3 linked regions of the Caenorhabditis elegans genome follow. The protein of the gene in region 1 purifies or fractionates together with the protein of each later gene. This does not show direct contact. Each region holds a gene or a part of one and is shown on either strand. Other genes may lie near its edges.

The links. Proteins that work in one complex are often made in the same cells at the same time.
Region 2: the proteins of prp-9 (region 1) and hrg-11.4 fractionate together in Caenorhabditis elegans (co-fractionation; one large-scale study listed by BioGRID). This does not show direct contact.
Region 3: the proteins of prp-9 (region 1) and prp-6 fractionate together in Caenorhabditis elegans (co-fractionation; one large-scale study listed by BioGRID). This does not show direct contact.

The regions. Positions count from the first base shown.
Region 1 is NC_003280.10:8,521,232-8,528,910, forward strand, and holds prp-9 (Matrin-type domain-containing protein), read right to left. Parts: upstream 4,166-7,679; 5' UTR 4,164-4,165; coding exon 4,020-4,163; intron 3,971-4,019; coding exon 3,812-3,970; intron 3,745-3,811; coding exon 3,218-3,744; intron 3,167-3,217; coding exon 2,905-3,166; intron 2,846-2,904; coding exon 2,660-2,845; intron 2,615-2,659; coding exon 2,390-2,614; 3' UTR 2,263-2,389; downstream 1-2,262. Other genes in the region: cht-2 (GH18 domain-containing protein), read left to right, coding at 56-147, 188-295, 354-451, 493-867, 919-988, 1,040-1,588, 1,630-1,990, 2,037-2,206; mrps-18B (28S ribosomal protein S18-2, mitochondrial), read left to right, coding at 4,458-4,556, 4,637-4,730, 4,830-4,888, 4,932-5,012, 5,074-5,457; gldi-7 (Sodium/potassium-transporting ATPase subunit beta-1-interacting protein), read right to left, coding at 5,679-6,161, 6,241-6,363, 6,565-7,033, 7,089-7,321.
Region 2 is NC_003284.9:420,447-429,017, reverse strand, and holds the start of hrg-11.4 (VWFA domain-containing protein), read left to right. Parts: upstream 1-3,382; 5' UTR 3,383-3,392; coding exon 3,393-3,489; intron 3,490-3,828; coding exon 3,829-4,018; intron 4,019-4,949; coding exon 4,950-5,192; intron 5,193-5,289; coding exon 5,290-5,541; intron 5,542-5,795; coding exon 5,796-5,875; intron 5,876-5,922; coding exon 5,923-6,068; intron 6,069-6,326; exon of another isoform or gene 6,327-6,371; coding exon of another isoform or gene 6,372-7,106; intron 7,107-7,159; coding exon of another isoform or gene 7,160-7,294; exon of another isoform or gene 7,295-7,311; intron 7,312-8,571. Other genes in the region: Homeobox protein dve-1, read left to right, coding at 1-25, 331-478, 1,019-1,197, 1,248-1,331; col-19 (Cuticle collagen 19), read right to left, coding at 6,372-7,106, 7,160-7,294.
Region 3 is NC_003283.11:18,019,249-18,027,667, reverse strand, and holds the start of prp-6 (Pre-mRNA-processing factor 6), read right to left. Parts: upstream 5,190-8,419; 5' UTR 5,182-5,189; coding exon 5,085-5,181; intron 3,832-5,084; coding exon 3,531-3,831; intron 3,032-3,530; exon of another isoform or gene 2,968-3,031; intron 2,273-2,967; coding exon 2,179-2,272; intron 1,084-2,178; coding exon 846-1,083; intron 1-845.

The DNA of each region.
Region 1 (7,679 bases):
AAATTAGTTTTAATCGCTAAGGTCACAAAGAAATTTGATATTTAAAAAATTTCAGTGTCCAATGGTGGAATCCTAGACCGATCTTGTGGAAGACGAAGAGTTGGTTATATTACATCGTGGGGCAAACATCCATTTAGAGATGATCAGGTATTTTTATAAACTTTTCAGTTAACACTTTCAAATTAAGGCTGAAAAGCTGACACACTTAGTTTTCGCCTTCTTCGTCGTCGATTCAGATGGAAGTGTCAAGTTGGAAGGAGATGCTGCAAAAGCAAGATTGGAACATGTTAAAGAGGTATTGTCAAAAACTATTTAAAAGTTATAGGTTTTTAAAATGATATTTGATATCTTAGGTTGCATCTCGTCATCCAGATCTCAAGCTTTTGTACGCTGTTGGAGGCTGGGAAAACTCTCAATATTTTTCCGTTTTAACTGCAGATCACTCTAGAAGGTGTGTCAAAGGCGTGATCTAGAAAACACATAAAATTTCAGATCAATTTTAATCTCGAACTTTGTCAAAGTTATTAAAGAGTACGGTTTTGACGGTGTTGATATTGACTGGGAATATCCCGTAACAGGCGGTGCTGTTGAGGGTACTCCAGCTGATCGAAGGAATTATGTAAACTTGATGAGAGAACTTCGAAATGAGTTGAGAGATTTGGAATCCGAAACAGGAAAGTCGTATCTCATATCGTTCGCTGGAGCAGCAGGACATTGGGTCTTGAAACCAGGATACGATCTACAACAATTGATGAAATATTGTGATTTTGTGAATGTTATGAGTTATGATTATTTTGGAGCATGGGCTTCGAAATGGGGTGCATACACTGGACCCCCAGCACCATTACAGTTTGCTATGCCGAAAAAGTGAGCTAAAATTAGTAAGGGGAAGCGAAGAGCAACGAAATAATTTTTTAGATTCTCTGGAAGAATGAACGTACATGCCACGATGAAAGACTACAGTTGCCAAATAAAAGCAACTGATAAGGTAAGAAACATTTTGGTATTTGAGTTACCGTAACCGTTAATCAACTTCCAGATAAATATGGGTGTCCCATTCTATGGTCGTTTCTGGAAGAATGTGGGTGATGCTGTTGACTCAACAGATGATATGTGGAGAACTGCTACGGCAACTAATTCAGAAGGCACAAAATTTGAAGGTGGAGATGTTCAATGGAGAGATCTGCACGAGAAATTTGATACTACAAAAACCAAGTTTCATTCTGGATCCAAAACCCCATTCATTTGGCTTTCTGAACAAAAAACCTTTGTTGGATATGAAAATGCTGAAAGTCTCAAACATAAAGTTGATTATATAGTTGAAAATAATATTGGAGGAGTTATGATATGGGCAATTGACTTTGATGATGATCAAGGTACCCTTCTGAACTCTGCTGCAGCTGAATCTATTTGTACCACATCAACAAAGTCATTCAACTACAAGTGTTCTCCAGTAGACGACAAAAGATGGTGGACATATGATGATAATGAGGAATTGGCTGGAATGTGTGGAAAATCGTCTCCATTGATTGATGGATATTATCCCGTTTGTGATCCAGATGATCCAGGTCATGCTTGTTGTGGAAAGGTTAGTACCACCGTGAAAGGCTTCATAATACCGTTTTGCAGTATGGCTATTGCGGTTCCGGTGCAGAATTCTGTTCTTGTCCTGAATGTATTGACTATGGTGCAGATCCAAATTTAATTTTGAAAGAACCAGTGAAACCAAGCCAAAAGATCACATGGTACACATCGGATGCTGGAGAAGGGAAACGTGGACGATGTGGTCGAGATGTTCCACCTTTAGAAGGAGAAGCGCCAACTTGTAATCCAGATGATGCTAATGCTCATTGTTGTAGTAATGGAGGTTACTGTGGAAATTCAAAGGAACATTGTGAATGTAATGGATGTATTGATTTTGCAAAACAGAGAGATTTCAAATATAAACCATTAGAATGGTGGACATTTTCTGAGAATCCAGCCAACGTTGGTGAGGGAACAGGCCCTCAATTCAACTTATAAGAATATATCTTCAGGTCGTTGTGGTTACAATGCTCCACGACTTTCTACTGGAAAAATTCCAAAATGTGATCCGGATTCTGAATCCTACTGTTGCAGTAATAGTGGCTATTGCGGAAAAGGAGAACAATATTGTAGCTGTTTAGGATGTGCTGATTTCAAGGCAAATCCTGCATTTGAGTATTAAACTTTCTCACTACTTATCTGAAACTGTATATACCGATAAATTATTTCAATTGTACTAAAATTACAAAAAAGTTTATCCATTAAATTTGAAAAATGAGACCAATTGGTTAAAAACTTACAGAAATGTAAGATTAAAAAGGAAAAAAAATAACTTAGAAGAACAATGGAATACATAAAATAGCGTCTACAGAAGTCCTTGTCTTTTCAAATCCTCATACATCTTCCTGGTGACCACATTTCCGCTGGAGTCCTCGTACTCCTCATCGATGTCCGGATTCCATTTAGCCATCTCCTTTTCGGTTTTCAATTTATTCCATAAATCCAGTGCATCTTTGATCTTCGTAATGTTGGCGAAATGAGAGGTATTCGGAATTCCAAGACATCTCATTCCATGAGAATGTCGCCACTCCTGCAAATATCAAGTTTTTGAACGAGACCAATATAATGAACTTACGTTGAAATGCTTTTGGAACGCCTTTGGACCTTTGTAAGTTTGATTTCCACAGATTTCACATGAATATGATAGATTGAGGCCGTGAAGTTTGTACAACCAATACGGAATTGGCTTTCCATCCCAACCAAGCGGTAGATTTTTTGGATTATATGGTGCACTCTCATCAATTTCTTCCTCTTCCTCGATCTAAAAAATGAATTTTTAAATGTTTCTAAAAATAACTAGAGAAAATAATTCAAACCTACCACAATTTCCTCCTCCTCCTCTTCTTCGACCTCTCCAGCAGATCTAGCTTGTTTTCTCTCGACATTTTCGCGAGTTCCAGTACGTTCTTCAGCTAGAATATCAGCAAGTGCCATAATATGAGCTTCCGTTTGTGCCAATGTCAAATTTTTAGCGTTCTGCTTTTCGGCATCGGAATTATTTGAAGACATTGCTGCTTTTTCGAGATCTGACAGTTTATGCCCTTTGGTAGCGAAAAGACGATCAGCGCGTTCTTTCAGAGTTCTGAAAAATAACGAGGACTACAATTAAAAAATCCAAATATTTTTAACTCACCCTCCACATTTCAGACCAATTGCCATGAGAGCTCCTTTCAAACGTTCCAATCCCAATCCCTCGAGTTCTTCAGCACTATTGTATGGAGATAAATCCACAGCAGCTGCTTGAGGTCCGTTCTTGTTTTTATCAGCTTCCCAACCAGGAAGATTCCCTGCTTTAAATGCTCTTTCTACAGTTTGATTAACCTCAGAGAAAACTGAATCGAGATCATGGAGTGGGCGAGTTCGTTGCATGAAAGAAACAAGATAGTCTTTTAAGGAATTGATGTATTCTTTATATGCTCCTGTCTTCTTGGTAGTATTTTTCGGTATCTCTGTGAATTTCTCAAAATTCAACAAATACGTCATGTAATCAACCCTTTTGATGTTCTTCAAGTTAATGAATTTGTCGTATTGTGCATGAAGATCTAGAAAACGACCGTAAGCTTCTTCATCACTGAATTCAACCATATCTGGCTCGGCTCTTTCAGGGTTGATGATTTCTTCATTGATTTTTTGGAACTCCACGGTGAGTGGTTCGGCAAGCTGAAAATGTATAGAAATTATATTACAACCAAACTTAATTGTTTCCGGGGAAAATAACAAAACTAACCTCGTCTGGATTTCTTCTGTGCGCATCTTTGATGACCTTCAGTCTTGAATAAAATTCGGCGAACTCATTTGGACCAGAAACTGAATCCATTTCCATGCTCTTCGAACCGTCTTCATCTTTATAAAATTTGGCAAGCTCGGCGGAAACTGAATAGTACCTCTGAAAAATAATAATATTGAATTGAAATAACATAACAGTTATTTCTTACATCGACAAATGTTTTCACTCGCTGTTCGCTATTAACTTTGGCCTTATGCGTTAACTTTTCTGCAATTTTTTCCTTAACAGTTATATCGATTAATCGTTCCCGTTCCTCGTGCAAGTTTCTGATGGTTTCTAGACACGAATCCATTTCTGTAAAGTTTTCTTACAACTAAACATTTAAAAAATATTAAATTAGTGAATAACTATTCATAAAAAAGATTAAACAAGACAGAAGAATAAAAATTTGAGAAAAATAAGATGTTCGAAAATGTGCAACTTGACGTGACGGTGAACACACATTCCTTGCGTACACCGCATTTAACTTGACGCACAAAGTATATTATTTTATTTTTAAGTTTTTAATTGTAATTTAAAGCTATAAGCTTGTACTTTTTAAATATAATTAAATTGTTTAAAAGTTGTCTAAGTCAGTATTTCAGGTATGTTAGCCACTGGGGGATCATTCGCACGAAGGCTGATTCATTCTTCCTGCCGATTGGCTTGCGAAGGAAAAACTAAAGAAGTTCCGACTCCAGAAGAGGTAACTGATAATATATTTGAACTAAACTAATTTCTATGTTAAATTTATAAACAATTTTACTTAAAAATCGATATATTCAGGCCGGATACGCTTACAATCATGTTGAACGAAAGAAGGGAATGTACAAACCACAACACAGTATTGCCGAGCAGATTTCCTATATGAAAAGTCGAGGTAATATTCAATTTAGTTTCAAAAACAAAATAAGAGGAATTCTTTGTGTACAGCTTTCATGAATGCCAATTAAAAATTAAATTATTTAATATATTTCAGGATACGCAGAGGCTTACAAAGGACTTCCGATTTACAGATGGTATAAGAGAAACATCAAGGTAATTTGAATTCGAAAAATAAATAAATTGATTGAAAATTCAGGGTCAATCGAAACTTCAACCACCTCCAAGACTTTTCTGCATTGATAAACACGGCCGATTCAATCTAAATCATGCTTGTCCAGTAAGTTTTTGTAACAGCAACTAACATTTGCAGATATAACAAACAAATTCACGAATTACAGGTGTGCCGTGACGAATATCTATACTTCGACTACCGAAACCCAGGTCTCATTGAACAATTTTTGGCAGATGGCACCGACCAACCAATCGATATCCTGAAGAGTGGACTATGTCGTGAACAGTACACGCTACTTCGTGCACAACTTCTGAAAGCAAAAGAACATGGAACAATCACATTTGGAGTAGAATTCCGAAACTTTGATTATCGTCAATGGTACAAAAGCTGGACAGATGAACCTGGAAAGCCTGTTGAGAGAGCTGGTGTACGTCTGCAAGATATTCATCCAGATCCACTTGTTCACTTCCCAACATTCAAAAATGACAAGAACAACGACTGGGACGAATGGTGGATTCGTCATGATAAATTTGCCAAGAAGGCAAAGTAATTGTTTTAATTTTCCTAGCGTGTTCGGTTTTCAGCAATTTTCTTCGAATTTTAGTAGGTCTCTATCGTAATTTGTTATCACTTGTTGTTGGTTCTAATAAAAATTGAGCTCAATTATTTAAACATTTATTTTAAAAAAAGCAGAAAGAATACAAAAAAGAAAGAATAAACCCGTATATAGTGCCTAGAAAAAGACGGCAAGACATGAGATTTGAGTCAAAATTAAACAAGAAGTCCACCACTAGTCATCACGGGATAGTTAGATTCATTCTCAACAACCGATGGATCACTGGAAAGTGGAATTTCGTTGGGAGCGTGATAGTGACTTATAACACGAGCATTTTCAGTTTTCTGGACCCTGAATGCACTTTTATAAGACTGATTCTTGGCTCCTAGTTGCTCCGATAACCGTATTCCTGGAGAAAGAATCGGGGATGGATCAACAGTTGATAACGAAATTCCACCTTTCCCAACAATGTGAGTTTTGTGTGCCAACGAAGCTCCAGATGTTCTAGAAGAAGATCCAGAAGTTGTAGAAGATGGGGCTGGAGAGTTGAGCATCGGAGCAAACATTGAAGGAACCGAATCTTGAGAAGCATTTCTTGATTTATAGTCAGAACTCAAAGGGATAGTAGAAGCCGGTGCAACTTCAGAGTGTCCAGAAGATCTTGATCGGAGTCGTTCGTACATATCGTAGTCTGGCGTCTGAAAATTATAGATATTATTTCAACTATGAACTCTTGATATAAATATTTTGTATAGAAAATCATTCATGAAAACTCACATCTCTATCAGATGGCTCTGCCTCCAAATGCTGACGTATTCGCAAAAGAGTCGCACTTTTTGGGTCGAAGCTGACTAATGATGTGACATTAGTTCCACGATTTTCTTCTTCTAGGTCAGGTCTCTGAAAGAAAATATAGCAGTTGTGAAATGAAATATTTTATTCAACTAAATGACTACAGTAACCATTTTGTACTAATTTAATAATTAACCATCAAGTTTTCAAAAGTTGTAGCCAAAAGTTTCTACCTAAAACGACTTGAAAATCATGTATAAAATTATAGAAAATGGAAACATTTAACCAATTCAAAACAAACAAACTTACTCTCAACGGCATAATTTTCTTTTTAATTGGCTGTGTGTACACATCCTCCAAATTACTTTCTTCTTCTGATGATCTATTTGAAGAACACGGAGCACAATCTGGAGCTGGCATTTCTGGACGTGGATTCTTTTTCTTCTTCTTTGAATTTCTCTCGAATTGTCCTTTGACTTCTTTTTTCTCTGTCACTTTCACTTTTTCTCTCGAAGATCCTAAGTCGTCATATTGTGAATTGAGGTATCCACTGCTAGAATTATTCGTGGAACTTGGAGCTTTGGCAACTTTTGATGCACATATTTGAGCATAATGGTTAATTGATTGGGAATTTGATCTTATTGGTTTCTTTCGAAGTTCCACAATCACTAAGATCGAGAAAATTGAAGTTACGATTGCAAAAATAATATGAAGAATTGCTTGAGATGCTTCGACTGAGTAGAATGGAATGAGACACTGTTTTTGAACCCATTTCTTTCTGGAAATCATTTGATTATTTCATATTTCCAATTAGAATAAATGAAATCGCTCACCTTATCACATCAAACTCGGCATCACAATATGGTGTGAATCTTAAGAAAAACGAAGAAGAGTACGGTAGTCCAGCCGAAAGATATGGTCTTGAAATTTCTCCGAAGACTCCGATATACCATAGGAAAATGAGCACATTGATTGTAACGGAAAGAGCATTTGATGAGAGGAGAGTGTAAAGAAGTGGACGTCGTTTTTGAGTAGCACCGAATAAACCCGAGATCAGCAAGACAATCTGAAAATATTCGACTTGTTCTTTCCTATCAATTTATGATATTCACACTTTCAATTTTCCCTGAAAATTTTCTGTTCTTCTAGAAATACTAGGAAATCTTAATCTCATTAATCCCAGTTTTTCCTCAAAAACATGAATATTTTTGTGTAAACTTTGCAAACCATTCTTTCCCGATCCCTGCCCATAATTAGACAGGATAGTCGAGGTCAGACACAATTTTTCGTCGAAAAACTGGCAATTATCTAGAGAATAAGCAGGAGTGTCTCTACCTACTCATGTTATATTTAATCACGATGTCAGAAATAACGGGCGGTACGGTTATTGAGATGGCTATGTACAGAATGATGGCGCCAAAAGT
Region 2 (8,571 bases), on another chromosome or scaffold:
CAATATTAAACCAGAACCGGAAATTGTAAGTTACGTTTGACTGTTTGTGCCATAGTTAGGTTGATTAGCGTTGCTCGTGCTGAAAAGCTTTGAAAAATCACGCTAAAAACGGATTTTCGGCTATTTCGATTCTGATTCACATTAAAGATAACATCTCCCAAATTGCTAAATATTACCGATAAGGTTATAAAGACCTAACACTACGGCCGAAAATCTGAATTTATTCCAAACTGTCAGCGTCGGCTGAGCGCCAATTAAAAATATTTTTCGACACAATTATGGTCCACCTTTAAAAATTATTCATCCCAAAACAAGCAACATTTCCTACAGGATTCAATTGCATCCTCCCCGGATATGGCAAACTCAATGCGCGAATCATTGTCCTCGACCTCCCCAAAGCTTCTCAGCGGGCTCGACCTCGGAGCATTCAGCACCCACTCATCATCCACCAACTCCATGCAAAACGCCAACTCATCAGGTACAACAAAGAGCTTTAAAACAGACAGGCTAACGGAAAAGAGAGGGAGATGGGTTGAACCAAGAACTCATAAATTAGAAGCGAGCACACACACACAAACACACATAGACATACACAAAGTGCGCGAAGACACATAACAAAGGGAGAAATGTGGGGCGTCGAATTTCGCACAGACAACCATTACGATCACTGAGATCTGAGGAAAAAAAAATGAGGCTAGGTATTGTGTTTACAGAAATAAAACAGAAAATCAACTGCAAACTTGATTTTGAGAAATATTCTAGGGATTTTGTACTGGCTCAAACTTATCGAGAAGGTGGCCATGTTCATGATACTCAGTCTGAAAACCTATATTGGTTGCTATCTCTAAAACGCTCTTAGATTGCGTTTGCTATGCATATGAAAAATGACTGCATAAAAATTCTCTATCTTTTCGACAAGAAAACTTTAAGGTGGAATTTTACTTCTATTTTTCGATAAAATCACTGACGCGGAACGTTTGAAAAAATTCAACGATAAAGCAAATAATCTCCGTTTTAGTGTTTTCAGCGGCTCGCTCACGCCTGATGTTCGACCCACTCACCGAGCTACCCGTCCTCGAAAAATGGTTCGAAGAGAATCCTCACCCGACATGGATGCAAATCGATCAGTACACACAATGCTTGAACAACTGCGCTTATCGAGAGAATTATCCGCATATTAGTCAGCACAATGTGAAGGTAATATTCTATATTAATACTGATTACTAGTTATCGAATTCGAATTGCAGATCTGGTTCAAAAATCGACGTGCAAAATGCAAGCGATTGTTGAATGGAATGCAGGAAAAGCTTGAGCAGAAGGTTTTCGTATAAAATTAAAATTTCCAACTTTTTTCAAAATCTTATTATCTTTAATTTCGAAAGAACATTAAGTTTTTCACATCAATAGTTCCTTCTTTAACCGTCATACTGGTGTACCCCTTGAATTCCTGATCTTCAGTGCCCCACAATTTCTCTTCAACGAAGAGCAAAATCACTACTTCATTTTTCATTCCAGCTGTGATTTTTGTCTGTAAGCTACACCTAATCGCTAGCTGTATATCTCGACGCATCTTTCGTTCTGCAAAACTTCTAGTCGCTTCTTGTCTTGTTTAACCTTGATGGGAAATTAAGCCGGCTTTAATTTCCTTCTTTCTTTCAATCAACAATTTCCCATCGCTTTCTTTGTCTCTTTCAATGTTCCACAGATCACATAGTTTTAATGGTTTTTCAATGTTTCCCTTCTTACCGTCACACTACTTTCCAATATTATTCATCTTAATTTTATGTCTACCACTTCCAATATCAATCTTGCCCACCGTTTTCTCAATTTTTTTTGTCAAATTTAAACTTTTCTCTGCTTTTCAGTTGTGCTTCAGCCCTTTATATGCCAAAAACTTTTATTCAGAATTTTGACATACAACCACGTTTATTTCTTTTTATTTGAATGTTTTGAGAAATAAAGTTTTTTTTTTCAGAAAAAAAATTTTACAAAAAATGGTCAATTTTTTATTTAAAAAATTGGCACACAAAAATAAAAACAGACATGATTGTAGGAGAAAATTTTCAGACTTTTCAAGAAATTATAACTTTTAAAAAGCTATTTTTGGAGAAAAAAGCTCCCTATTTTAACAATAAAGTTTTGAGCCATTTCACGCGTGCACCAAAAAAAATGTCTGAGAAAAATGTCAGGGGTACGAGTTGAGTTTTCCTTTTCAAATTTTTTGTAAAAAAATATTCAGAACACTATCTAGAGCGACAAAAAACTTGGTTGGTGAAAACTCGTTCTAAAATCTGGCACTGAAGTTACTTCCTTCCGCTAACAACTTGTCAGGTGCAATCTAAGTTTCGACTAAAAAAAACAATTATTATTTCAAAGCTGGATAATTTATTCGAATTTTCGAAATATTGCAGAACTGAAAAGAAAAGAAGTTTTCCATAAACTTGGATTGTCAGTCAAATCTTGCAAGGACGTACACGTTGTAGGTTTGCCTTGGAAGAGGTCGTCCACTTCAACATGCAGTCCAGTTATACTCACTAGGAAAGTAATTTAACTCACTTTCAGACTTTCAAATTGAATTTATAAGAACTTAAAGCGGGTTTTCATCAAAAAATAACAATGGAATATAAAGAAGTCGATTTGATATTCTCCGAGCACGTTTTCACTGCTTTTGTAACGTTTGCAACTATTACAAATGAGGAAGTTTGCAATTTTGTAATGCTTTTAATAAAGTCTAAAAATAGGCAAAACAATTTAATAAATTTTTTTTTTTAAATATTTCAGAATTTTTGTTCAGCCTAAAACGTCTTAACAATTGCCTCAAAATCTTTTTAAAGCAGTTTTATTTATACTTTTGCGGAAACTTTGCAATAATCCTATAAATAGCATAAATAAACATTTTTTAAAGTGAAAACAAAGTTTCATTGGTGGTTTAAAAAATTTATAAAGCTTTATAGAACGTTGCCAGTGTAATACAACTGTTAAAACATAACTCACTTGAATAAATCACATGAAAAATTGTTTGATTAATAAAAAAACTTGTAAGTAACAAAAAACCTGCAAGTTCTCGACTGTAAAAACAACAGCTGGAAGCAAAGTGGAACGCTTAACCATTTTTATTTCTGTTTCCCACTGTCTTTTCCAGAAGTTCCTGAAATGTAAACATTTTAAACTGAATTTTCACAACACATCAACCTCTGCTCTATTCGAATTCTAGATGAGAACAACTTGCCAATGGAAGAGTATAATCGCATTATCAGTGACAACTAATTTAAGAGCCTCAATTGGATAAACTAACTTTTTCAAACAAAAAAAACCTGATAACAATTTTATTTAGTTTTATTTAATTATTACATTAAGAAATATCTTCTAAATAAAGACGATTTTTCAGTAAAATGCTCAAATTTGTAATTACAAGTATTCTACTACTGCGGGTCTGTAGTGGAGTAAGTATTCCCAATAAAAGTCAACACGGCGAACTAACGAAAAGCTGTAAGTTTAAGTAAAAAACACGTAAAATTGAAAATATTGGCAAAAGTTTGACATATTGAAAAAACACAGCAGGCTTACTTAAAAATGTTTACATCATAAGTTCTGGTCCGAGTCACAACTACACGAAAGGTATTGAGCTCACTTTTGTGCTTCTAGCGGGAATTTTTATTTGATGAATTAAATAACCAACTAAGAACAATTTTTTCAAGAGTGAATTTGGTGGAAACGCCAGTGGATTCTCTTTCTGGCTAGGCCAAGCCAACACATTTAATAGAACCTCTTCAAATCTTTACAGAAAACGTTTTTTGACCAGTTTTAGCCAGAGGGATTAAATTTCAGTGAATTCGAAACTCAAACAACTTGTTGCACTAAATCTATCGGAACCTTCTCAACGGGTTCAACCTACCTTCTCTTCAAGACCGAAACTGTTGGATCAAACCTCTCCAGTGACATGCTACAATAAGTCAATTGATATACTGCCTCATGACGGTACTGCAAAATTTGGTGATTTAGTGGAGAGTGATTTCAGGTATACATTTTTAGTAGGGAATATTGTAGAAAATCGTGGAGTGCTCGGAGATTGCTAACCAGCAGTTCTAAAAATTGAGCCTGTGGGACATTTTCACTCAGTGTTTTCATTAAAATTTAGGAATAGAATCTGGAAAATGTTAATTCTAGTTAAAGGTGGAGTGGCGCCAGTGGGGAAATTTCTTTAAAACACGCCTATGGTACCAAAATGACCGAATATCATGATAAAAAAATGCAAAAATTTTTTCTAATTTTAAAATTTGAAAATTGAAAAAATCTCAGTTTTTGCCTAATTCCGATTTGAGTTTACGCCAATTGGATTTGTTCGATGGAGCGCACTTGCACGTTTTAATTTTAATTTATTGTTATTTTGTCATATTTTTCACCAATTTTCCATGTTTTCAATGTAGTTTTGTCTGAAATTTGACGAAAAAGTCAAAATAAATGCTAATTTTTGATTAAAAAGCTAATTCACAAGCGTGAGTCTGTGAAATCTGTAAATTCAAGTTCGAAATCGTTTAAATGCATGCATTTTCTTTCAAAATAACAATAAATTAAAATTAAAACGTGCAAGTGCGCTCCATCGAACAACTTCAATAGGCGGAAATTCAAATCGGAATTAGGCAAAAACTGAGATTTTTTTCAATTTTCAAAAAATCATATAAAATTTAGAAATTTTTTTTGAATTTTTTAATCATGATATTCGGTTATTTTGGTACCATAGGCGTGTTTTAAAGTACTCGAAAAAAAATACTCGAAAATTGTCAAAAACGTGAAACTTGTTGTTGATAGTAAAATTGCCATTTTTCATTTTTCCGGTTTCTATTTGCGATTTAATAATAATCTAAAACTCTATCTGGATTTTCATTACGTTATTCGAGAACCAATACCAGATTAATAACATGTTTCATAATACATACACATATCTTCAGTGCGACTTGCTCCGACACTTTCACTTTTTACGTCGACAATTTTATCGAAGAGTTCTTTGTAATTATCAATACACTCGACGCCCTCAATCCGCGGGCAACAGTTTATAATCCGATTGGAGGCGAAGTGTCCACATGCAAAGATATCACCACGGACGTCACTCAAACAATTCACCTTATCTGCAACGGAAAGAATGTTCACGGAACTGGAGCGTATACGGTTCAGCTCTCTGCAGATTTGAACAAGTGAGCACACAATTAAAACAAGATGACCCAAATTGTGAAAAAAAAATCAAAAAAAGACTCTTGAAATCTTATCTCATTTAAAAATAAAATCATTCAGACCGTGTATATTTGAAGTCCGAGCTCCAACAAAGCTGACAGTTGATGGTGGGTTTGTAGAGGATGTTCGTGACGATGACGTTCAGAAAGTAATATTTTCCACTGCAAATCAAGGAATATTCCGTTTCCCACTTGAAAATCAGGCAGCATTTTTAGCATTTAAAGTCGAGAGTGAAGAATTTCCAATTCATCCCGATGAGGTGCATCTTTATGTAAACGGCCTATTCGATCAGAAAATGGATTTGAACTTGAGGTGAATGTTTGAGAGTGATAAAAATTTGGAATTGAGTAATTTTTTTCTACATTATTCAATAGAATCAATTTTTCTACATTATTCAATTTTGGATGATCCAAAAAAATTGAAGGAAAGTAAACTTTTTTCTGTTGAAAAAAATACATGTTTATATTGCAGAAGCATTTTTTAATTCAAAAATAAAGCCTGAACATTTAGATTTAACAAAGATGAATCATGAACATAATTGCTTTGGCAGAAAAACCATTTTTCAGATACGGCTGCAGTACCCCTCATATCACTCAACAATCTTATAACTGTACGTCTCAAAACTTGTATCATGCCAAGTTCAGAGGTATTTCTCCTTTCTATTTTCTCCCTTCTCTCATTGTCGGTTTCTAGGATACGATAGTGATGGAAACAGGTTCCAGAGAATCTACGACTTTAGCTGTGACCTAAGTGAAATTACATTCACAACACCTTCCGTGCACGTTTCGACGACGCCAGCAAGGTTTTGTGAAAATGGAGGAATTCTGTATAATGAAACGGTACGTAGGTGGCTTTATTTTCAGGTGGACTGGGGCTGCCCGGCAAAAAAATTTTTTTAACTGGACTATATTTCGAAGGACAATCTTGGTATAATTTTCTATTTTGGTAAATAATTCTAGTAGTTGGTTTTTAGAGTTGGTTTTTAAAAAGTGTTCCAAATTAAAAAAAAAAAGAAATTTGCCAGATTTGAAAAGCTGAAGTATTTTGATTTGCATGTGAAATTGCAATTTAAAAAAAAGTGCAGAAACAGAACACAATTTGGAATGTTCGAAAATTTATAAAAAAGACAGAGAAAGGCAGAATTAAGCCTTGTAAGCTGCACGAGATGGGCATGGACAATATCCAGCATCTGGTCCTGGTGCGGCATCCTCTCCCTTTTGTCCTGGAACTCCATTCTTTCCTGGATGCCCTGGTGGTCCTGGTCTTCCGGCGTTTCCGTTCTTTCCAGCCTCTCCATCGTTTCCTGGTGCTCCTGGATTTCCGGCTGGTCCGGTTTCTCCGCGTGGTCCTTGTGGTCCTGGACGTCCTGGCTGTCCTGGCTTGTACTCGGTTCCTGGTTCTCCACGTGGTCCTGCTGGTCCTGGACGTCCGGCGGCTCCTGGTCTTCCTGCATCTCCCTGTGGTCCTTGCTCTCCTGGTCCTCCAACTGGTCCTGGTGGTCCGCGTCTTCCGTTTCCTCCGGCTGGTCCAGCAGATCCTGGAAGTCCTGATGGTCCTTTTGGTCCTGGACGTCCTGGTGGGCACTTGATGCATCCTCCTGGAATATCGTGGGTGATGGCAACAATAACTCCAGGAGCTCCTGGCTTTCCATCGTCTCCATCGTGTCCTGGATTTCCCTTCTGTCCACCCTCTCCTGGTGGTCCTGGTGGTCCAGCTGGGCAACCCTCGGATTTTGGTCCGCAGTTACATTGCTCGAATCCAGCTTGACGAGCGGTACGGGCTCCGAAGAGAGTCTCAAAGGTTGGTGGAGCATTTGTGTGTCCGGTTGGGTTGATGTGCTTGCTCACCATACGAGCCCAGGTGTCTTGGGTGATAGCCTGAACACAAAGTGAATTGATAACAACACTAACTTCCTTTATGTAAAACTTACTCTAAATTCAACCATACCATCCTGGAACTCAACTTGAAGCTCCTCGATCTCATTGAGAAGGTTTCCGATGGTGTAAAGCGAGGCAAGAACGCACACAAGTACTCCGCAGGATCCAACCACAATGAGCTTGCCCATGTTGATGAACTGATGTCTTTCTAAATGGTGACCGTTTCCTTTTATACTGAAAGTTGCTGAGAAAGCGAAAGTTACACCTTCAAACCTAACCAGTGTAATCTAACCAATTTCATTTTTCTGCCAGGAAAAAAAATGCGTTTTTCATTTGATAGATAATGTGTTTCCAAGAGAGATGGACAATGAAATTTAAGGAGAAATTTCTTCTATCTGTTTTTTTTTCTGGTTGGGGAAATCGGAATTTTTTTGAAAATAAAGACAAAGCGAGTGTTTTTCAACGAATAATGTTCAAAAATGAAGTTCAATAACTAATCTCAAAAATTTTCTTTCGAGAAAAAACTATGAATTATCTGGAGTTTTATTGTTTTTCAAAAATTATATACTCCTTACTTCAAGGATTTGGGCAAATACTAAAATATTACCTAGCTGGGATACTAAAAGAGAAAGGCATAAGTTTGGTTTTAAAATTTATTTCCAAATATTTCTATCCTATAATACAAAAATTTTTGAAACTAACCATATTGGTTCAGAAAGCACGTCAATTTTGAACAAAGGTATTGTATGCTTACTGTTGTTTAGAACACACTAAATTTCGAGTTTTTAGAGAGAAAATGCGTTAAATTTTCGAAAAAAAAAATTAAATAATACATTGGTGCAAATTTTCAAATGCTAAATACGAATTTATTTTATTATGAATTCAAATAATTTTCATCAGTTTCCCAATAAAAAAACCTATGAGAAAGTATTAGATGTAGCGCGGTAAGTTTTCTGAAATTTGTCTACTTTCTCTGGAATTTTTAATTTTTTGGGAATAAGTTTACATTTCCTAATAGGGACGTTTGGAAGCTTTTTTTTTGAAAAAGTCCCAATTTTTTTTCAAATTATAATTTTTAAAAGCCGCTGACCTCTATTCAACAAAGAAATAGTGTGAAGAGTGATTTTTTGTGCGTCCCTCTTAAGAATATAAAATTCTTGAAGCTCAAACTAATAAATCGTTGGTATGTAGTTTAAAGGGTTGTAGTCTGACATTAAATTTATTTGATGTTCCAGGTTTTTATAGTTTCTAGTTTCTAGTATTTCTAGTATAAATACGAGTTTCTAGCATATAGTTTATAGTAGTTTTATGAAATTTTATATATTTGGATATTTGATATAACGCCCGAAATCACTCATTGTTTTAGAAAACCTTCGAATCAAAATTTTTGACAGTAATTTAGGCTTCAAAATTTCAAATCAATTTTATAGAAATGCAAGTATTTCTTGAAGATTTTAAAATTGAC
Region 3 (8,419 bases), on another chromosome or scaffold:
TGTAGTCGAATTATTTATTGCTTTATTAGACTCAAAATTGTCTGAAAACACCGAGTTTTATAATGAAACTTCTTGAAAATTACTCAAAAAAAAAAAGAAGTTATGACGGCTCAAAAAATGATCTAAAATTAGTAGTAAAGTAAATTTGAAATTTGACCGACTTGTCAAGCGGCTGGAAACAATTTTTTTTTTTGAAATCACCTTCAAATTTTAAGTATTCTTGTCAATTATCTTACATTTTCAACTTCATTTAGGAATTTTAAAGTCGATGAACGACGAGATTTGGTAAAAGAAGTTTAATACCTAAATCGAGTTGAAAATTTTAAAAACTTTCCAAAAACTGACCAAAAATTAGAATATCTTCTGAACCAGGAGGCGGTTTTTTGCATATAAATACACGGGAAAATGCTATTTTTAAAGGAGAATTTTTGAGGTTTTTTTTGCTTTTTCTCCCATTTTTCAGCCAATTCCTTACTTTTTTTCCTTACTTCCTTACTAAGATTTTTACAAGGAAAATTGAGTTTTTATTTAGATTTCTCAATTTTCAAGGGGTATTCTGCGGGAATTATTGATTTTTCTATTCAAATTTTTGGCCAAAAATTCAATTTCCTGTGGAATTAGATCATTGAAATATATCAATTTTTAACCTAAAAATTGGTTACTTTCCCCAATTTTCGGCAATTTCTACTACAAATTTCGGGAAAATTTTTCAGTTCCATTGAAAATTTTCAAATTCCGTGTCTGATTCCGTGTCGTGTCTTGGTCAATTTTTGGCCTAAAAATCGGTTTTTTTCACAATTTTCAGCAATTTCTCTGCTCAATTTCAGAAATATTTCCAGCCGTACTTTTTGCTCCAGCAGCAGCTGCTCCACCACCACCACCCAACGTAGACATGAATCCACTGGCAAAAGGCGTTGTGAGACCATTTCCCGAATCAATTGAATGGCTCATTTGTCCATAATTCATGTTCATCGCAATAATTGAATCAGGAACGGGAGTGAATTTCTCGGCACGGGCGTTACGTTTTGCCTTGTTACGCATATCACCGACTTCTGGAATCGCTTGCCATTCATCTTCGGTTACCTGAAAAAGGGAATTTTGGTGGAATTCGTGAATCTATTAGGTCTCCAAATAAGTTTCGGGTCAAAAATCATAACTTTGTTCGCTGCAAATCGATTTTTATAAAACTTTAGGAATTTATGTTATCAACCATGATCTTTCATTTGACAATAGTCACAAAATTTTTTGACCGTCCGAAGTGCCCTAACTCAGAGCCAATTTTTTCAGACATTTTTCAGATCTTGCTTCTTTTCAGGTTTCAATTGAGCTTTGTGTGCGGATTTTGCTTAGTTTAGTACACAATGTAAGAAAACAAAAAAAGTTTGGGAAAAAATCCGTCTAAAAAATTTATTTTTTGTCGATCTTCAAAAAATCTTCAAAAAAATTTTTGTCGAAAATTCTTGATTTTTTATACAAAAATGATGTAACCATGTGCAAACTATTTTTACACATACAAAACATTTGAGTATGAAATTTGGATCTCGAGAAATACTCCAAAAACTCAAAAATATTTCGAAAAATATATGTTTTCTGCTATTATTTCAGTGTGACGCACTAAATTGAAATGTTTTGTATGTGTAAAAATAGTTTGCACATGGTTACATCATATTTGTATAAAAGATCAAGAATTTTCGACAAAAATTTTTTTGGACGGATTTTTTTCCAAACTTTTTTTGTTTTCTTACATTGTGTACTAAACAAAGCAAAATCCGCACACAAACCTCAATTCAAAGGTTAAAAAAAGCGAGATCTGAAAAATGCCTGAAAAATTTGCCTCCGAGTTAGGGCACTTCGGACGGTCAAAAAATTTTGTGACTATTGTCAAATGAAAGATCATGGTTGATAACATAAATTCCTAAAGTTTTATAAAAATCGATTTGCAGCGAACAAAGTTATGATTTTTGACCCGGAATTTATTTGGAGACCTAATATGAAGTTTTAACAGTTTTTACGAGAAAAAATTTAGTGATTTTGAGTGGAAATTCGTTATTTTTCGAGTTTTTTCCATCAAATTTGAAGCGAAACCCCCATTTTTAGAGGTTTTTGAGCTAAATTTCGATAAAAAAAGCTGAAATTTTCGATGAAAATGCAATTTTTTCACTCAAAAATCGCCTATACCTCAGCCAATTGTCTCTTCAAATCCTGAAATCCTTGTTGAATTTTCGGGCGGTCTTTATGGAAGAGTTCGACGAGCTCCTTGTACTTTTTCTCTCTGAAAAAAAAAGGATATTTGTCGAACAAGTGTGTGTGCAAATATTGTATAAAAGAGACACCAAAAATCAATGAATTTGGTGGTCTGCAGAGACTACAAACTACAAACTTGAAGAAATTATTATTAAATTTTCTTAATCGGATTTTTGTAAAAAATCCAAAAAAAAAACTCGATTTTCGGCGGAAAGCTTCCAATTTTGAAGAAAAAAAAAATTGGGTCTGCTAATGTTTTTGTAGTATTTGTAGTCTAGCAGACCAAATAGTTTTGGCAATGGTCTGCAGAGACTACAAACTACAAAAATAGCTGTTCACAATCGGTTTTTCGCATAAAACGTCAACTTTTAATCATTTTTTGACGGGAAATTATGCAAAAATAGCAATTTTTCGATGAAATAATCAATTTTTGCCGGATTTTTGGCAAAATCACCTGATTTTTTTTACAAAAATGCGAAAAAAAAGATAATTTTCACGCATTTCAAAGAGATTTTCGACAAAAAGTCGTTAAAACGAATAAGCTAACAGCGTATAATTGTAGTTTGTAGTCTTGCAGACCCAAATTGGGAAAATGGGTCTGCCAGACTACGAACTACACATTTCGCCAGAATTTTACGATTTTTAAGCGATTTTCCCAGTTTTTCGTGCAAATAAGCGGATTTTTCTGGAATTTTCTTGAAAAATCGAATTTTCGTTCTAAAACGTGTAGTTTGTAGTCTAGCAGACCAAATAGTTTTGGCGAAGGTCTGCCAGACTACAAACTACACATTTCGCTAGAATTTTACAATTTTTCGAGCAATTTTCCCAGTTTTTCGATTTTTTCGTTTAAAAATCGAAATTTCGTTTTAAATTTTAAAAAATTTGTGGATCTATCGGCTTTAGTGCGAAAATTGGCTCTAAAACATGTAGTTTGTAGTCTAGCAGACCAAATTGGTCTGCTAGACTACAAACTACACTTTTCGCTCGGCGATTTTCTGAAATTCTCCGCATTTTTACTCGATTTCTAATGAAAATTTGAAAAATTTCGAAAAAAAAAGGTGTAGCTTGTAGTCCTGGCCTGCTAAAATTCAAAATTTTGAATGTTTTTTGTAGTATTTGTAGTCGAGCAGACCCATTGGGTATGGCCTGCTGAGAGACTACAAACTACAAAATCTCGCAATTCATGCGATTTTTAACGTATTTTCGCTGAAAAATCTCAAAATTGTCATGTTTTCAGCCCCTAAAAAGAGGTGTTTTTTGTAGTTTTAGGTGGTCTTCCTGTGCACCTCCGTTCCTTATGCCGTTCATCCAATCGATCATCAACCTCATTATAAATACGATCAGCATCCTCATCCTCCTGATCATACGGATCTTTCGAGAACAAACTTCCACTATAACCCGAAAATTCATCATAATTCGCCTCGTTCAGATCTTCTCCATCTCCATCATCATCCCGGGCTCGCTTTGCTGGTGGAGCTGATGACGATGAAGCTCCTTGTGGTGATGGTCCGACTGGTCCGGCTTCTGGTAGTTCAGTGGGATCACGTGCTGGACCAATGTCAGAACGAGTTGTGAAGCCAGTGGCACCTGTGGAATTATAATGATTTTAGAGGTCTGTTATTAGACTACAAACTATAATATATTATTTTAATAACAATATATATATTTATTTAATTTTGCCGAAAATTCGACAAAATATGATTTTTTAACGAAAAGTGGCTGAGATTGAACGATTTATCTGAGAAAACCTGCGATTTTATAGTTTGTAGTCTAGCAGACCAAAAAACTTTGGGCCTGCTAGACTACAAACTACAATATTATTTGAAAATATATGTATATATATCAAATCTTATGTTTTTTGCAAAAAATAACGCTGCAAAAAAGTGATTTTTTGACGAAAATTGCAGGAATGGCGAGATTTTGTAGTTTGTAGTCTAGCAGACCATCGCCACAAAGATTGGGTCTGCCAGACTACAAATACTACAAAAAACCATTAGCAGACCATTTTTCGTTGTTCGCCGAAAATGTGTGTTTTTTGCATTTTTTTAAAAATTCGATGCAGAAAATTTATAATTTCTGTAGTTTGTAATTTGTAGTCTTGCATAGTTCTGGTAGACTACAAACTACAACTGAATATTAATTTTCTGAGCGCTTCTTCTCAGTTTTGAAGGGATTTTTTCCAAAATTTGTGAATTTTTATTGGAAAATTGCAGAAAATCGCCGATAAACAGCAAAATTTAATCGAAATATGTAGTTTGTAGCCTGGCAGACCAGTTTTGGGTCTGCTAGACTACAAACTACACGTTTTAGAACCAATTTTCGCACAAAACCCAAGAAATTCACAAATTTATTGGAAAAAAACCGATTTAGAAAAATTCCATAAAAATTCGCAAATTTTCACAAAAAAAAAATCAAGAAAATCGCTTGAAATTGTAAAATTTTGTCGAAAAGTGTAGTTTGTAGTCTAGCAGACCCAAATCGAGCGTATGGGTCTGCTAGACTACAAACTACATTTTCGACCGAATTTTGGCGGATTTTTTGTTTTTAGCGTATTTTTCAGTGATTTTGTTGAAAATTTTGGATTTTGCCCTGAAACTGTAAAATTCAATAAAAAACGTGAATTTCCCAGTTTTGTATTGAAAAAACTGCAAATTTTGCTAAAAATCGCTTGAAAACGTGTAGTTTGTAGTCTGGCAGACCCAAAAGCTTTGGGTCTGCTGGACTACAAACTACGACCATTATTTGGCAGACCAAATCGATTTTTTCGCTGTTTTTCAGCTATTTTTGGAGTTTTTTCGGATTTTTTTCGAATTTTCACAAAATTTTTTGCGATTTCTCACCTCTACCAACTCCAGGAACATATCCTGTTGGTGCTGGCATTCCCATAAAGAATTTTTTGGTCTTATTGACCAGTGATCCTGGAATTGTCGTCGCCATGGTTCAACCTGAAGGATTATTGATTTTTTAATGGGATCTTTTAATGGTTTTTCGGGAAAGATTGAAGAAAATGTCGGGTTTTTGCATATTTTTCGGCTAAAATGGGAATTTTCTGAACCAAAATTGTTAATTTTCAGCATTTTTACCTCAAATTCCACCATTTTTCGACTAGTTTTCGGCATTTTCTTTGGAATTAGTGAAATACGAGAAGATAATAGTACACCTACGGCCTGGGAGGCAAAAAAGTGGCCCGATAGGTGGACATATGTTTTTTATTACACTAAAAAATGCTTCTAGTGGTTCAAGGTGTAAAATGAGATGGGAATGTTCGGGAAAATGACTTTTAGCTGGTAATTTTGGGGTAAAATTGAATTAAAATCTAGAAAAATGGTAGAAATCTCGAAAATCTGGCGAAAATCAATTTTTTTTTTTAATTATCCAAAAATCCAAGTTTTCCATCAATTTTCTACATTTTCCGATTAATTTCTATGTTAAAAAGTTGAAAAAATAACGTAAGACTCGAATTTTGCAGCAAAAAACAGGTTACAACGCGTTAAACCCGGGGAATCTTCGTTTTTAACGCCAATTCTCAAAAACCCCGGCTCGCAGACATTTTTCTATGGTTTTTGCGATTTTTGCCATTAAAATAATGCAAAATTAACGAAAAAATCGAATTTTTCAATGAAAAACAATAAAAATAGCTTAAAAATCAAGAAAATCGGCGAAAATCGAGAATTTATCGGTTTTCCGCAACGCATTTATTATTTTTAGTTTCGAAAGCGAAAGTGCGATGGGGCGCGCTTGCAGACACCAATTTGGAGAATAAACAGAAATGAGTCGAAAAAAGGACTGAAAACCGGGGAAAATGGAAGTTTAGTGGAAAATTAAGTAGAAAATCTGAAAGAGCAATATTAAAAACCTGGGAAAGCTCGAAAAATTTGAGAAAATCGGTGAAATTTCGAAGGAAAACCTTTAAAAATTAGAAAAACTTTTTTTTCTCAAATTTTGGTTTAAAAGTTTTTTATTTTTTGGAAAAAAAGTATATTGGAAAAACAAAAAATTTGAATTAAACCCAAAAAATCACGTGAACCGGCTGAAAATGTAGTCTAGCAGACCGTAGTGCCTTTTTTTTTAAACATTTACAGTCATTCGGTTTGTCAGACTACAAAATACAAAAAATATGGTCTGATAAGCTGAAAACGGTCTATAAATGACAAAACCCACAAAAAATTAATAAAAATCCGTTGGGTCTGCCAAAACTTGTAGTTTGTAGTGTAGCAGACCAAAAGCTTTTTCGACTTATAGAGTCTATTGGGTCTGCTGGACTACAAACTACAAAAAATTGGTATGAAAAGCCGAAAAATGACGAAAAAAATCGGTTTGGTCTGGCAAAACTTGTAGTTTGTAGTGTAGCAGACCAACGACATTTATCGACATAGTCGAGAAGGAATAGTATTGTGGGTTTTCTGGACTACAAACTATTTTTTGAAGAAAACCCACCGGAACCCGCGAAAAATGCAAAAAAAAAACCGATTGGGTCTGCCAACATTTTGTGTAGTTTGTAGTGTAGCAGACCAAACTAATAAAACGACTCACCTTCAATTCGAACAACTTAGTCATCGCAATATAACGTGGAATAACGTCGTTTGATCAGAATCGCCCCCGGAATATCGAATTATTTTATCGCCGACCGCAATCTTTCGCGCGGTCACGGAATATAAAATGAATACGAAGGGATTAAGAGACGCAGGAGTGGGAGAGAGAGAGAGGTCACTTTATTATTATTTAGTTATAATAATGTGTACATGTAATTATGTTGTATAGGTGTTCAGAAAAGATTGGGGGACATTTGAAACTGCATCGAGTTCTTTTTTGAATTTAGAACATAGTTATACGACTTAATTTTACTATGTTTTTTTGTTGCAAAATTTTTAAAAAATCTATGAAAAATTTTAGAAAGAGGGCATATACACATATATACGCGTATATTAATTAATTAGTGTCATATACATACATACATACCGTATATTCTCTATGATAGTACTGTTGGTCATTTTTCCATAGTGTTTCAAAGTTTTTTCTTTAATTTGGGAAAAGTACTTCATGAAGCGCTTCAGAACACTAGTAAATTTTGCTGGCGATTACATATGATATGATTAATATATAATCACGCTAAAAATAGAAAAATACGCTAAGTATTAAAATAAAAGCATAGGTACAAAAACATCCATTATTAAAAAAAAAAGTACATGCGATGATGAATGGCGTGAAAGCAACAAAATTTCACGATTCATGACATTTCAGATAAGTTTTCCGTGAAACTACTACTAATTGTTAGTGCTGTTGGCCTTTATAAAATGAAACATCTACTTCTTGAATGTTGGATATTCATTATTGTTGTATGTAGGTTAGTCTGAGACACACATCTATTGCTCTGGTGCTTAACATCATCATAATTTGCCCATACTATTCATGTGCCTGTGGAGAAATTCCACGTATGAGCTTGACACATTTGCTCCGTCAGTTCTTCATCCAATTGCAATGATAGAAATTCCAATTCACTTGTTAGCTTCTTATATAGTCATATTCAAAACTCCACCGACAATGGCTTCTGTTAAATGGATGATGGTGTTCATGCATTTTTGGTAGGTCTTTGTAGTTTGTAGTCAGATTGATTTTTCCAATCATATTGATTACAAAATTTAATTTTGAACTTTAAAGCATAGTTCTTCGTTAACGAATTAACATGGGACTAGTAAGATACACATCTGAAAATGCCATATACTTTACTTTTATACTTTATACGCGGATATTTTTCGGATAAACATAATGAATTTATCAATAAATGTTGATGTCTTATTTACTTCCAAAGTGTATTAGAAGTGTATTTAGAACAAAATAATAACTATTGAGGAACATGAATAAAAAACTTGTAAAATTGCACACGTTTTTCTTAACAAGACCCTGAATTTGTAATTCGATCAAAATCGGCTAACGAATGACCGATAACGGCAAATGGACTATGTATAAAGTGTGTGTTTAAATACAGCTGTTACAATATTTTTCAGCACTTTTTAATTTTCCGACACTACTTAAATAGCCCCATAAAGTGAGGATATGCTCCTTTGACAACAATTCAAATCTTTCCAGTAGTGCCTTCCTGGACTTATTCCTCAGTGCCCTATCCACCCAATACTACCTCGTACCGGTATTCGGTGGCTACATGCGTGGAATACTC